Linked DNA regions of Sus scrofa. The protein of the gene in region 2 interacts with the protein of the main gene of each other region in a pairwise test. Links are inferred from orthologs where the notes say so. Each region holds a gene or a part of one and is shown on either strand. Other genes may lie near its edges.

The links.
Region 1: the proteins of EGLN3 (region 2) and FOXJ2 interact in binary tests that used the Homo sapiens proteins (3 or more experiments, as listed by UniProt). The two-hybrid records come from large-scale screens. The link is inferred for Sus scrofa from reciprocal best matches to the Homo sapiens genes EGLN3 and FOXJ2.

Annotation. Positions count from the first base shown.
Region 1 is NC_010447.5:63,073,809-63,082,200, reverse strand, and holds part of FOXJ2 (forkhead box protein J2), read right to left. Parts: intron 7,378-8,392; coding exon 7,309-7,377; intron 6,645-7,308; coding exon 6,504-6,644; intron 6,063-6,503; coding exon 5,864-6,062; intron 1,951-5,863; coding exon 1,534-1,950; intron 1,129-1,533; coding exon 1,027-1,128; intron 1-1,026.
Region 2 is NC_010449.5:65,826,637-65,833,790, reverse strand, and holds the end of EGLN3 (egl nine homolog 3), read right to left. Parts: intron 5,819-7,154; coding exon 5,682-5,818; intron 3,396-5,681; coding exon 3,322-3,395; intron 2,455-3,321; coding exon 2,423-2,454; 3' UTR 255-2,422; downstream 1-254. UniProt on the Homo sapiens protein: Prolyl hydroxylase that mediates hydroxylation of proline residues in target proteins, such as PKM, TELO2, ATF4 and HIF1A. Target proteins are preferentially recognized via a LXXLAP motif.

The DNA.
Region 1 (8,392 bases), on a different chromosome or scaffold from region 2:
GCAAAGCCCGTGAAGAATCCAGCACTGTCGCTGTCACTATCACTGTGGTATAGGTTCGATCCCTGGCCCCAGAACTTCCACAGGCCATAGGTGCAGCCAGGAAAAAAAAAAAAAAGAAAAAGCAAGGCTAACCTTGCAGAGGCCCCTACCAGTTCACTGCTCTGACCACATCATCCGTCAACACGGACTATAAGTGCTACCGATAATAACTGACATCTGGGAGTTCCTACTGTGGCGCAATGGGATCGATGGCATCTCTGCAGCACTGGGTCACAGGTTTGATCCCTGGGCTGGCATAGTGGGTTAAGGATCTGCTGTTAACACAGCTGCGATACAGGTGGCAACTGCAGCTCAGATCTGATCCCTAGCAGGAGAACTTCGTATGTTGCAGGGCAGCCAAAATAGAAAATAAATACATAAATACATAAATAATTGGTGTCCATCAGAGCTCTACATTTGCTTTCTTTTTTTCTTTTTTTTTTTTTTTTTTGGCCACGCCCATGTCATGCAGAAGTGCCCAGGCCAGGGATCAAACCTGCACCACAGCAGCGACCTGAGCCACAGCGGTGACAATACTGGAGTCTCAACCTGCAGTGCACTGGAGACCTCCTAGAAATCTACATTTTCAAGCTCTCATTCTCCTTCTTCCTTACTAACGTTTTATAATGTCCATCTTACTGATGCATAAAAGTTTCAAAGTGGCTGAGTGAATTAGCCATGGTCAAACTGTCAGTCAATGGTGACAAAACTACAAAACACTGGTCCAGGGTTTCTGAATTCCTGAAAGCCTTCCTCCTCCCAGAGACAAAACTAGTAGAAGAAAGCCCTGTCATATTTTGAGTGAAGGCAAGAATTCATTCCAATTCACCTGAAAATAGTATCAATATTATCCACCTTGTGTAACATGAAACCCTCAACCTTCAAGCTTCCCTTAACCATCCCCTTCTGGTTCTGGTTGCTCTTGGATTTTTCCACTCACACTGCATCCCTCTTCCCTCCAGGCACCACCATCCTTTCATCACTCACCTGAGAACTGCGACTGCTCAATGCTGGACCAGTTGAGCCGATTCACCATCTTGAAGCTTTCCTTTAAGGAGTCGATATTGGAGCACCAGTCCGGAGGAAAGGCTGTAGAGAGGAGGCGAACATGGTAGTAAGACAGAGTGAGCGGTGAGGCGGGGGCCAACTGACAGGACACCGGCTCACGGCAGATTCTTGCATCTACACAGGTTATCAGTTTCATGACCAGGATCAGTTCCACTACCAGGATTATTTGCCTGGAAATTTAGAGTAAATAAAGCTATGGATGCTTTAGGTACAGACACCCAGCTCAGAGGCAGGAGAATATGTAAAATAATTCCAATTTGACCAAGAATTCTATGAACAGAGCTCTGAGTAGCAACTTCCAGCGCTCAGATGAGAGGGAGGCTTCCAGGCCCACTGTTAACTCAGTGACCAAGGCATCTCCATGGGCAGAGGCAGAACAGGGGGGCCAACCCACACTCCTCCAGGGCCCTGCACCGCCTTACTCACCAAAGCCAGTACTGTTGATGGGAGCCTGGGCTTGTGCCTGCGGTGGCGGTGGCGGTGGCTGCTGGGCGGGGTGCGGGTGGGGGTGGTGCTGATGGGGGTGGTAGCCTCCGTGCTGCAGTGGGGGTGGGTGCATGGCCATCACTGGGGGGGGCCCGTAGCCCTCGGCTCCTGCTTGCTTCCCCCCTGGCGGGGTACAGCCATCTGGGCTTGGGGTGTGCAGTGGAGGCGCACCCCCCACAGCGGAGGGGCCCTGGGCGGGGGCCGCCGGCGGAGGCGGCGGCGGTGGCTGCTGCTGCTGCTGCTGCTGTTGCTGCTGCGGCTGTGACTGCTGGGGCGGCTGTGGGGGCTGTGGCTGCTGCTGCTGGTACATGTAGTAGTTGTTAGAGGGCGGCATGTCCCCCAGGAGAGACGAGAAGCCTGTGGAGGAGGAGGAAGCGTCGCATTGTTCACAGAACAGGAATCCCACTGGGTTGAGATGGGAGGCCTCAGACAGAAAGCACGGACAGCAGAGGCAAAGGGTCACGTCCCCGTGGTCCCCTCCCTCCCCTTGCAAGTATGACAGATACGGGGGGCGGCGGGGGGGGTGCTTGACAGCATGACAAGGGCTGAAATTTTAGCTAGGAGGTCAGCATGCACCTTTTTATGCTATTTTTCAAGGGATTTTCATGTAGGTCTGGAATCACAGTTTCAAAAGAAATCAGACATCGGGTAAAATTTTAAAAGCAAATTATAAATAAAACAAAACCATAAGGAGTGCCTGTTGTGGCTCAGTGGATTAAGGACCCAACATGGTATCCATAGCATTGCCGAAAGCTGTGGCATAGGTCAAAGATGTGGCTCAGATGCAGTGCTGCTGAGGCTGTGATGTAAGCTGGCAGCTGCAGCTCCCATTCAGCCCCTAGCCTAGGAACTTCCATATGCTGCAGGTGCAGCTGTAAAAAAAGCAAAAAACAAAAAAACACAAACAAACCCAAAGGCATGGGCCTTTATTTCTCCTTTTCTTTTTAAAATTTTTTTTTTTTTTTTTTTAGGGCAGATGGAGGTTCCCAGGCTAGGGGTCAAATCAAAGCTAAAGCTGTCAGCCTACACCACAGCCACAGCAAGGCGGGATCTGAGTCGCATCTGCGACCCACACCACAGCTCATAGCAGCAACACCAGATTCTTAACCCACTGAGCAAAGTCAGGGATCGAACCTTCGTCCTCATGGATGCTAGTTGGGTTCACTAACCTCTGAGCCATGACGGGAACTCCTCTCCTTTTCCTTATTGTCCTACACTGTTCTGCAATTATAGCCTTCTTGTAGTCACTACAAAAATAAAAGCTTGGGAGATCCCTGGTGGCCCAGCAGGTTAAGGACCTGGTGTTGTCACTGCTGTAGCTCAGGTCACTGCTGTGGCTCAGGTTAGATCCCCAGTCTGGGAATTTCCACATTCTATGGGCAAAGCCAAAAAAAAGGGGGGGAGCCTGGGTGTGGAGTAGAGTCCAAATGGATAAATTTCTCAAACAGATCTGGCTGGGAAGAATCCAAGATGGAAACCGGGTTTTCAGCCTTAATTAAACCTAAGTGAACTCTCTGCTGCCCTCACTCAATTTGGTTTTTTCCTTTGCTTCTGAGAGCCCTTCAAGTTCTCCACTTCTCATCACCCAAATCACCTGAACCCGACTCATTTCTCAAGCAAATCCTGCAACCTTGGGACACAACTCTAGACAGGAACCCCCACAGATATACAAGAAAGGCAGGACAATACAAAGTTCTGGAGTTCCCCCTGTGGCTCAGTGGTTAACGAACTGACAGGTATCCATGAGGATGTGGGTTTGATTCCCAGCTCTGCTCAGTGGGTTAAGGATCCTGCGTTGCCATGAGCTGTGGTGTAGGTCACAGATGCAGCTCAGATCCCAAATTGCTATGGCTGTGGTGTAGGCTGGCAGCCACAGCTCTGCTGACTCAACCCCTAGCCTGGGAATCTCCATATGCCACAGGTGCGGCCCTAAAAAGACAAAAGACCAAAAAAATATATAAATTTCTCCCAAAGGGACTCCTAAGCACTTTTTATCATTCCATTCATCTCCTGCTGCCTCTCCATGGCCAGTGGACAGAATAAGGTCTGATGATTCACCCTGAAGTCTTTACTTCACCCCTACCTCCAAATTCTCTTTAAAATTTTTAAAAACATGGAGTTCCCATCATGGGGCAGTGAAAACGAATCTGACTAGGAACCATGAGGACAAGGGTTCGATCCCCAGCCTCCCTCAGTGGGTTAAGGATCTGGCATTGCTGTGAGCTCTGGTGTAGGTTGAAGACACGGCTCGGATCTGGTGTTGCCGTGGCTCTGTCGTAGGCCAGCGGCTACAGCTCTGACTTGACCCCTAGCCTGGGAACCTCCATATGCCGTGGGTGTGGCCCTAGAAAAGGCAAAAAGACAAAAAAATATATGTATAAATAAATGCAATTTTTTAAAAACAGGAATCGCAGAGAGCTGAACTAGATGCTCTCTCAAGGAGTCTCCCAAGAATGACTTCAAATCCTTCTCACATGTGAATTTGGGAAATTTGAGTATGGCCAAGATATAAACCGATATTCTGGAAGCATTATTTACTGTGTTAGGATAATGGAAAGAAAAATCTTTATCATTAAGGATGCATACCAAACTAGTATTTTCAGATAGAATGACATGCATTAAATTCCTCCATTTAAAAGCAAACCTGGGAGTTCCCGTCGTGGCGCAGTGGTTAACGAATCCGACTAGGAACCATGAGGTTGCAAGTTCGGTCCCTGCCCTCGCCCAGCGGGTTAAGGATCCAGCGTTGCCGTGAGCTGTGGTGTAGGTTGCAGACTCGGCTCGGATCCCGAGTTGCTGTGGCTCTGGCGTAGGCCGGTGGCTACAGCTCTGATTCAACCCCTAGCCTGGGAATCTCCATATGCCCGGGAGCGGCCCAAGAAATAGCAACAACAACAACAACAAAAAAAAAAAAAGACAAAAGACAAAAAAAAAAAAAAAAAGCAAACCTGGAACTACATTTCAATTAAAAAAGAAAAGGTGAAAAGGAAAAAAAAAGAAAGAAAGAAAAAGTGGGTGGGCACCTCTGGGGTTAAAATTAGGAGAAAACGAAAAGGTACATTGACTTCTTAATCTGTGTGTTTCTTGGATTAATTTTAAATTTAAAAAAAGAATATAAAATATTGGAGTTCCCGTCGTGGCGCAGTGGTTAACGAATCCACTAGGAACCATGAGGTTGCGGGTTCGGTCCCTGCCCTTGCTCAGTGGGTTAACGATCCGGCGTTGCCGTGAGTGTGGTGTAGGTTGCAGACGCGGCTCGGATCCCGCATTGCTGTGGCTCTGGCGTAGGCTAGTGGCTACAGCTCCGATTCGACCCCTAGCCTGGGAACCTCCATATGCCGTGGGAGCGGCCCCAAAGAAATAGCAAAAAGACAAAAAATAAATAAATAAATAAAAATAAAAAATTATGTTACTAAGAATTAAATAAATAAATAAACTGGGTGGCAAACAAAACAACCTTAATAAAATATTGGGAACTGTTAAAATTGGGCAATGGAAACATGAAGGTTTACTATACAATTTTCTCCATTTTGCACCGGTTTGAAATTGTTCCTCATAAAAATTAACATAAATACGTTAAAAAATAAAATTAAATGTTCTCACAATGAAACAGGGATTCTTAGGTAAAGCAAGTTACTGCTGCCCCTAGTGGCCATCCTCAGAATGACTTGCTGACAGCCATAAAATCATGGCCCTTGGAAGTTCCCATTGTGGCTCAGCAGTAAGGAAACTGGCTAGTATCCATGAGAATGCAGTTGGATTCCTGACCCCTCTCAGTGGGTTAAGGATATGACATTGCCCCGAGCGCAGTGTATATCACAGACATGGCTTGGATGTGGCATTGTTGTGGCTGTGGCATAGGCCAACACCTGCAGTTCCAATTCAGCCCCTAGTCTGGGAACTTGCATTTGCTGTGAGTTTGGCCCTTAAAAGAAAAAAAGAAGAAAAAAAAAATTACAGCCCTTAGTTTTAGAAGTGGGATTCCTTTAACTCACTTTCCGAAGCTAACGACCCAGCCTTCCTCTTGGGAAGCGAGAATTCTACCATTGAACCACCAATGCCTCCCAGCCTGCCTCTTGAAACAGAGAACTGTCCTTCAGAACTAAGCCAGAAGAGCTCCACTCCAAACCGTTTTGGCTCAAGACATGCTTCCCCTGACCAGTGATCAACCTCTCCCTGGGTTACAGGTAAGAAAGAAGGAGAGAAAGACTATCACCATCCATTCAAAAATACAAGGACATCCCCGATCCCCTCCCCATGCCAGACCCACCGTGTTGAGAGGAGGAGGAAGACTTCTCCAGCATAGATTTGTAGAGGTTTCGGAAGGACCAGCTTAGATCCTGAAAATTGATCTCTGAGTAGGAGAATTTGAAGTCATGGTTGGTGTTATACAGGGGAGGGGGACCCTCAGTGCTCTCTCGTCCTGGAGCCCCTGCTGCCACTGCCCCGCCATCCACAGATCCTGTGCCCTGCACAAAGAGGTAAGAAAGACTTGATCCGTGTCCTATACGAAGCGCCAAGACAGCTCTTTAATGGACCCCAAGCTCTCCTGCCTGTCCTTTTCATCCCCTCCCAGCTTCTCAGCGAAGGAGCTTCATTTTCTCCTCCTCTTTGCACTCATTCTTACCAGGATGTAGCCTTCTGTCCTTTTCCTGGGTTACGTCCTGCTCGTCTTTCCCTTCTCATAACCCTTTTGCCTCCCCTTCTTGTCTTGTCATCACTTTTTTTCTGATCTTTCTTAAAGTTCTGTTGCCTTTCTCTTTACTCTCTCCTTCTTTCCCAGTTTATCTGCCTGTTATATAGCACAGATATTCAGTACATAACTTTGAGCTGATACATACATCAATGTACTCAACTACCTATCCATCCACCCGTCCATCCCTATGCCCCCTGCCACCTCCAATTGCTACCTGGCTGTAGCTGGCAATAGAGGTGGGGCTCTGGAGTGACATCTGAGGATTCCCCTCGGGAGGCAGTGAGGCTTCTCCACTCCCTGGAATGCCTCCTCGTGGGCTCTTGCTTGCCTCTTGTTCCGGTGAGTCTTGGGGTAGCTGAGGGTTGTGAAAGAATAGAAACCTATAAGCAGGAGTTCCCACTATGGTGCAGTGGGTTAAGAATCTGACTGCAGTGGCTTAAGTCTCAGATCCCTGGCCCAGTGCAGTGAGTTAAAGGATCTGCAGCTTCGGCTGGGATTTAGTCCCTGGCCTAGGAACTTGCATATGGCATAAAAAAAAAAAAAAAAGAAGAAAGAAAGAAGGAAATCTGTCAGCTAGAATTCCCATCATGGCTCAGTGTTTAATGAGCCCAACTAGTATCCATGAGGACGTGGGTTTGATCCCTGGCCTTGCTCAGTGGGTTAAGGATTCGGCGTTGCCGTGAGCAGTGGTATAGGTCGCAGACACGGCTAGGATCCCGAATTGCTGTGGCTATGGCATAGGCTGGCAGCTGTCATTCTGATTAAACCCCTAGCCTGGGAACTGCCACATGCTGCGGGGTGTGGCCCTAAAAAGACAGAAAACCAAAAAAAAAAAAAAAAAAAGAAAGAAAGAAAAGAAAAGAAATTTCTAAGCAGACGTTAAATGTCCTCCCAAGTCCCATGGTTTCACCTCTACTGGTATTGGTCCTTTACCCCCAATTTAGGAAATAACTGAAAATACAGGAAGAGATGTAGAAGCTGGCTCAGAAATGCATCTCCCCACTGAGGTGGGAACTCACATCATCATCTGGAGGGTGTCTTCTCTTTCGGGAGATGTCGGGGCAGGTGTCAATTGTCCAGTAAGAGCCCTAAAAGAAAACCCATCCCCAGAGAGGAGAAATTCATTATAGACAGAAATTCCTACCTTTGGAAAAGTAGATATTTGAGTGGATTTTCATATAAAATAAGTTATATGGAGAAAAATGACAGGTGATTCCCACAGAATCCTGTGGCTACCAGCTCTTTTTGAGGACTAAATCTGTCCTAACCGCTAACTGAGAAGGTCAGAGGTACCCGCTGTGGTCCAAACACAGGCCTCGATCATTCCAGAGAACAACTGCATCCAGTTCAAAGAGCTGGAAATGCCCAGAGCAATCTTCCCTCCTTGCGATCTGAGGTAAAACTCTCTTCGACTTTAGCATCCACAGCTGAGAGACCAAGAGGATGAGCTGCCTCTTCTCCTCTTGGAAGATAAAAAAATCATAGAGAAATAATTTTCTATTTTCATATAGAGAAGTTCCTGGGAGTTCCCATTGTAGCTCAGCAGAAACGAACCCGACTAGTATCCATGAAGATGTGGGTTCCATCCCTGGCCTCGCTCTGTGAGTTAAGGATCTAGCATTGGCATGAGCTGTGGTGTAGGTCACAGACGAGGGTCGAATCTGGAGTTGCTGTGGCTGTGGTGTAGGCTGGCAGCTGCAGCTCCATTTCAACCCCTAGCCTGGGAACTTCCATATGCTGTACCTGCGGCCCAAAAAGACAAGAAAAGAAAAGGAAAGGAAAGGAAGGAAGGAAGGAAGGAAGGAAGGAAGGAAGGAAGGAAGGAAAGAAAGAAAAGAAAGAAAGAAAGAAAGAAAGAAAGAAAGAAAGAAAGAAAGAAAGAAAGAAAGAAAGAAAGAAGGAAGGAAAAGAACAGTTCCTTCAAAGGTTATTAGCTCCACCTTTTACACCTAGAAAGAGTGCCATGCACAAAAAAGGGGGCACATGGAGTTCCCGTTGAGATGCAGCAGAAACAAATCCGACTAGGAACCATGAGGTTGCAGGTTCGATCCCTGGCCTCAGTCATTTGTGATTGGGTTAAGGATCTGGCATTGCGGTGAGGTG
Region 2 (7,154 bases):
TTTGGCTCAAAATTTAATCTCCTGCCAAGGACTCTGCACTATGTAGGTGACGTAACACTGAGGTAGGCTCTTAACATTTCATTGCCAGGAATATAAAGGAAATTGATCCGATTATTTGCCAAATAATGTTTCTTCATCAGGGCTAAGTCCTCCCCTAAGTGGGCTGTCAAAGAGAGGAGGAAAAAAAGCAGTCACTCTTAGTTGTATTTTCCAGGACTCAAATTCAGCCATGAAAAAAATCAATGCATTAAAAATTGATTTGATATATATATAGTTTATTTGGTTATAGGACCTTTGTCTGGAAGGCAAAGCATATGAGGTCTGATCTTTGGGTAACTCAAAATATTGACTAAGTGAAAGATACAAGACATACTATTGTAATGATATTTTGTAACAATGTTCTTTCAGAATATCATCATCATTCTCACTATGATAGTTATCATGGAAAAAACTTAGCTACCATTTTACAGAATATAAAACTCCTAGTAAACAACCTTCTTTCTTTCTCTCTTGTTGAAGGTTTTCAAAATTGTTCCAAAGGAAGAATGCGGTCTATCCTCTCTGAAGTTCTCCGTACTCCTGTAGTTCCAGGACATAGAAGGGCAGAATCCTCTTTGTTCAATCTTCAGATTCATAGTTGCCAATGACCTCTTCAAACAGATAATATGAAAGGACACTATGATCAAAGCTTCCTAAAATTCTTAGCCTAAACTTAAAGTCAACAATGACAGAAAGACACATGTGCAAAAATTCTACCAAGCCCATCCTACCCAAGATAGAGGAAATAAATCAAACAATTAAAATACTAAGGCAAGAGTTTATTCAACAAGTATTTACTGAGCTCTTACTATGTGCCAAGCACTATTTTAGGTGCTGGGAATACATTCCACTGATTGAACACATACAAAAATCCCTGTCTTCATTGTGCTTACACTCTAGAGGAAGGATGCAAGACAATGAACATAATAAATAAGTAATTTACATAGTAACTTAGAAGGTGATGAGTACTATAGGAAAAAAAAATATAGAGCACTCGTGAGAAAAAAAAGACAAGTCTTATCTGAAAATTTTCCAAAGCCAGGTACACACGAAAATATGCTTCCTTCTGGGACAGTCTATTCATCTGTTAAGTGACAAAATGTTTCTGGCCCCTTAATGTGCATAGGGTTTTCAAGCAAGAAATTACAGGGATTTAACAAATATGAAAATAGAACTGGAAACTAAGAGTAACCTTCATGGACTCAATACAGAATTCTGCAGGCAGCAGAATCTGTGTTCACTGCAGTAGAACTTTCCACAGTTCTAGCAAATTCCACAATTCCAGCCATACTACCAACCACAGTGGATCTGGAGGGTCCAGTCTGCTGAGAAGAGGCTACTAGGGACAGAAAATGTGGAAGAACTCAAGCAGCTTTTCAGGATTTTTTGCTTTATTTCCATTTCCTTTTAACATTTCAGCACCCTAGTTTTTTTGTGATTTTCTTACTTTGTTAAATTAAAGAAGGGTGAGGCCATTAAAAAGGAAAACTGAAAAATAGGAACGTCCACAGTTCCAACTCCATCTCCAGTCTCAAACTGTTCAAGATGCACATGTATTAGGTCTTTTGACATCATTATCAGAGGTTGTTGGCTCCAAACTACCAGGAAGATCCCCCTCCCACTCTTTGATTTAAATTCAAATTTCCTTTCAACAAAGCAATCAAAACAATTAATGTCTACTTTTGCCTCCAGGGAATTAGGTTCTCCAAATAAGAAGTGATACTAGAAAATGAATGGCATTGACATATTCCATCAAAATGGGGCAGAGGCAGAAAGTCTAGGTTGCAGGACCAGGGAAAAGGAGTGTCCCTGGAGATTTAGAAACTGATGACTATGACAGCAGCCCTTTCTAGAGGTAATAATGTCATTAGGTTGTGATAATTCTCCAGAAACCCCAACAGCCCTGGATTAAGAACATCTGGAAATTGTTCAGATGACACACATTTCTGTTTCCTGCTGTTAAGGCTTCAGCGATGCCTCGCCGTGGCATCTGTCACCATTTTATTTCTTTGCAAACCTCCTCCTTTCAAATCAGGAAGTGTACATAAAGTGCAAGTAAGATTCATGCCCTCGCTCATGCTTCCAGGTTCTTGCTTCAAAAGCCAGGATCACCAAATCTATCAATTACACCGCTGGCCAGCTAGGTTGTCTGCAGGTATTTCTGGAGTTAGTAAATGAGTTCGTCTGGCAAAGTGTCTGGAGGTGGATGCAGTCTTGGCAAGAAAACACAAAGTACCATACGCAAGACAGGGATGTGAATGATGCAAGCAATAGTAAGGGGTTCTCATCACCGAGTCCCTGCAGAAGAGGCCTTCCTCAACTCTTAAAGAGAATTCAGGAACTGTTACTAAGATGAATGAGGCCAGCGGATTTCAGAGCAGGGTCAGTCCTCAGTGAGGGCAGGCTCGGTTTTCCCTGGGTTAGGAACAGAAAAGAAAACAAAGAGGGTAAGAGGCTCGATCTGATGAGTTTAGTATCACAAATGTCACCCCAAAAGCCTCCAGTAAATGCTCCCCATCTTACAGAACAAAGCTGAATGCAGTGCCTCCTGAAAGGGTTTAGCAAAACTTGTTTTCTTTGGTGTTTGCTAGGCATACAGTCCAAATGGGTCATGGGTTAGGCAATGTCACATACATCTTTATGGTACGATTTCTTAGATTAATATTTTCTTGATTAATATGCCCATGAGCAATGTGACTCTTCAAGAAAGAGATACAATATGTAACATTTCCCACATTTAGTGGCCAGGAATTTATCTTCTTGCAAACCAACCTGTGTTTCAATATAACATATTTTCAGAAATGCTGCCTTATAATACTGGATAGAGGCAACAGGAATGATGTCAAGTCACATTCAATTTATATTATAAGAGCCCAGTTTTTATATTCAGAGTCACCACACTGGTCTTGTACCAATGTAATAGATTAACCATCATAGCTAAAGTTCCATTGAATTTCTTTCATTACGTGCCAAAATCAGGGTCAGAATTTAACATTATGTTTGATGGACAAACATTAATGATCAAAAGTTAACTAGTTCCCATCTATTTTAACTGTCACATCATCAGTGGACATTCACAGGGGATGTCCTTTGTGGCTTTTTTTTTTTTTCTGATTTTTCAGTAGAGCTAAGAACAGAATTAGGCCCATCAAGATGCCATTATGTACGAAGCTAAGCTATAGCTGAGACTAAACAGAATATATTAGAATGTACATAAAAGTCTTGAATAAAAGTTATGGATTGACTAGATCAAAAAATCACAGAAAATTATCAAACACATACTAGTCAAATTCCTGAATTTCTTTTTGGCTTCGGCCCTCTCTTCAGCATCGAAGTACCAAACAGTCATGGCATATCTGTGAAAGATAAGCAGATATTAAAAAGAGGCTTGAAAACACTACCAAAAAATAAAAAATACTTGCTATAAATTTCACATAACAGTCATTTGTAAAGTCAACGTTTAAATTTTTTCCATCCCAATTTGAATTTAAAATAAACTTCTCTGGTTTCAAGTCTATTTAAATGTAATAAAACACGTAAGGAATTCCGAGTATGCGCCAGGCATTATCCTGAGCGATGGGAATTCAAATGGTCCTGTGAATACATCAGCTTTTTTCTCAAGAAGCTTGGGCTCTAGCAGGGGAGAAAAGCGATTTAACAAATAATGGAACAGGTCAAGATGATCTACACAAAAAATGCTGGAAAGGAGTCATTCTGCTAAGGATTGAGAGACTTAAGTTGGTGGGAAGAGCAAAGAAGAGATGACATCCTAGTGAAGCTTTGGAGAGTAACTTACCAAATCACAAGACACTTACAATTCTGGGCTATTTTCTCTTAGTTTTCCACATTGAGCCAATGACACAATGATAACAATGCCCTCAAGCTTTCTACTGCATCCCATTCATTTGCTTTATCCCATCTATGGGATAGACTATAACAGGAGTCATTTCATGCTTGAGTTTTTAAAAGGTTCATTTGTTGTTGTTGTTGTTGTTATTATTATTATTATTATCATTATTATCAGCTACTGGAATTTCTATAGCACTTGATTTTTTTCTAAGGGATTCTTATCAACATTTGCTAATGTTTCCCCTGTGACTCTGGTCATGGAGACACTGGAGAATTCTGCACAAATGACAGGGTCCAATTATTGTGTCCCATTAAATAAGCCACAGTAGGCTTTGGTGGTAGAATTACTTAACTGCTCACCTAGGGTACATCCCAGTTTGACATTTAATATGCAGCTCTGTGTGGAGCTCAGATCCGTGATTTCTGGAGGGAGACACATAACCCTTAAGCACTTTACACCTGTGATTTTAATTTAATTAGGCTTGTTAAGGTTTAGTCATTATCCTTCTAACCAATCTCTCTCCTCCCTGCCCCCAACTGCTATTCCCAATTCAAGCTACACCCCACAGAGCTCCAATACCACCTGGTTTACAGCTTTGTCCATAAAACAAAGGCAAATGAGAGGCAGAATCCAAAATTAAGATTACATTGGAGTTCCCGTTGTGGCTTAGCCATAACAAATCCAACTAGTATCCATGAGGATGCATGTTTGATCCCTGGCCTCACTCAGTGGGTTAAGGATCTGGTGTTGCCGTAAGCTGTGGTGTAGGTCACAGATGCGGCTCAGATCCGACGTTGCTATGGCTATGGTGTAGGCAAGCAGCTGTAGCTCCAATTTGACCCCTAGCCTGGGAACTTCCATATGCTGCGTGTGGAGCCTTAAAAAGCAAAAAAAAAAAAAAAAAAAAAAAAAAAAAGATTATATCAGAATGGAAGATGGAGTTTCTATTGTTGCTCAGCAGTAACAAACCCAACTGGTATCCATGAGGATTTGGGTTTGATCCCTGACCTTTCTCGGTGGGTTAAGAATCCGGCATTGTCATAAGCTGTGGTGTAGGTCGCAGACATGGCTCTGATTCAGCCCCTAGCCTGGAAACTTCCATATGCCACAGGTGTGGCCCTAAAAAAAAAAAAATAGATTATATCAAGGACTTCTAAGATTAATACTAAGCAATGCTAACTTGTTCATTTACTCTGAAAACCTTCCCATGCATGATCTAGAGAAAGGAATTTCACTAACAACATTGTAAATCAACTATACTTCGATAAAGTATGTTTTTTAAAAAAAGGAATTTTAAAAATCCAACTATTAGGACATGATGAGTACAGTAAAATTTTAAGCTAAGGAAAGGGTGAAAAGAAAACAAAATCAGAACAAATTTCTTTTTTTTTTTTTTTTCCTCAAGGTTCTTTCTCCACTTGGAACTGGCAACTTCTCTAGAGGGAACCAGACCAAATTCCTAATTTGTGACAGTCAACATTCCCTAGGAGTAATTCAACATTAAGTTTTTTTAATGGAGGGGTGGGGAAGAAGCGAGAGAAGAGAAAAACTTTCTGGGGAATTTGGAATCCAAGATGCTCACCTAATGGAAAACAGTATGTTCAAGATAGGTTTGGTGTACTAACGAGTCTAGCGTTTCTCCCGCAATTTTTATTGACTTCAAATATGTTTGCTGTCAGCTTTGGGGGGTGGTTGGCCCCTCATATGCTCAGAACACAAGCTGAGAGAATTCTCTGGGAACCGAGGTTTGTACAAGAAGCTTCTTAAGGGCAATTGTGGCCCTGGCTGTTACCTGGTCGCATAGGAAGGCTGGACTTCATGTGGGTTCCTGCGGTCTGACCAGAAGAACAAGAGTCTGTCAAAAATGGGCTCCACATCTGCTATGAATGATTTCCCTTCTGGAAATATCCGCAGGATCCCACCGTGTAGCTGAGGGCCACAAAGAAGGTAGATTATTTCCTGGTCTCAGACATAGTTCATTAACAATGATAGTTTAGCATCATCTAGAAGTAAAGCTATCTTCCAACTGCTACTCCATGTGTGTATTATGCCCTAGATGGTACTTTGGCCTCATCCTTTGTTCAAACTTGGCTAACACACATATCTCCTTATTCACCTCATACCAAATGAAGCCTCCGCCCCCCCCCCATCACGAAGCCCCTGGATACAAAACGAAGTACTATTGGGTCAAATCATATGGAACTGCCAATATGTGACTCTTTTTGACCTACAGCAATTTCATATAGTTCAATCCAATATTAACAGCTCCCTAGGACAGTGACCACACATAACCTCCCCTTCAATTAGAATTTACAGCTTTCTCTGGAACTCCCCTAGCTCCAAAGTGATTTCATCAGTTGGAAGTTACATACTCTTTTTTCCTGACTCCCAGACCACCTTATCTGTATCTTTTAGGACATACATCACTCTCTTTCTTGAATTACTTTTTTTTATTACATGCTCACCCCATCTATCCACGAGAAGAACCATGTCAAGGTAGAATTCAGGCCTTATACATCAGTATTTCCCCACAGCCAAATGCCCGGCACCAGTACAGGCACACGAATATTCACTGAATGATTTCATACTCTGTTATTTATTACCACCAATCTGACAACTTTACTCTCATGTCTATAGCATCACCTTTTGAGATTTTAAAGGACAACTAAGGGGATATATTCCAATCATGTTATCAAATAGGGAGGCTTGTCACTGATTCACTGGTTTCCCAGGTTTAGATTTTCTTTTCTTTTTTTTTTTTTGTCTTTTGTCCTTTTAGGGCCACATCCACGGCATATGGAGATTCCCAGGCTAGGGGTCTAATCGGAGCTGTAGCTGCCAGCCTACGCCAGAGCCACAGCAACACGGGATCCGAGCCGTGTTTGCAACCTACACAGGATCCTTAACTCACTGAGTGAGGCCAGGGATTGAACCTGAAATCTCATGGTTCCTAGTCGGATTCATTTCCACTGCGCCATGACGGGAACTCCTCACATTTAGATTTTCTGACCCCGGATAAAATCTCCTTACTCTAGGACAGCCAGCATCTGTCCTAATGAACAGGAAATGGAGATGCAGAAGGTTCAAAAGCCAAATCAGCTTGAAAAGTTCTCCAACTTCTCAGACTCCTAAATCATCCTTAACTTTCAGAAAGCATACGAATTCCAGACAAATGTTTGTAAGCGTGGAACCAGACTTCATATCTCTATCTATATAAGAAAATAAGCCATGAAGCCTTTGGCGTTCACACCATAGTAAACCATGG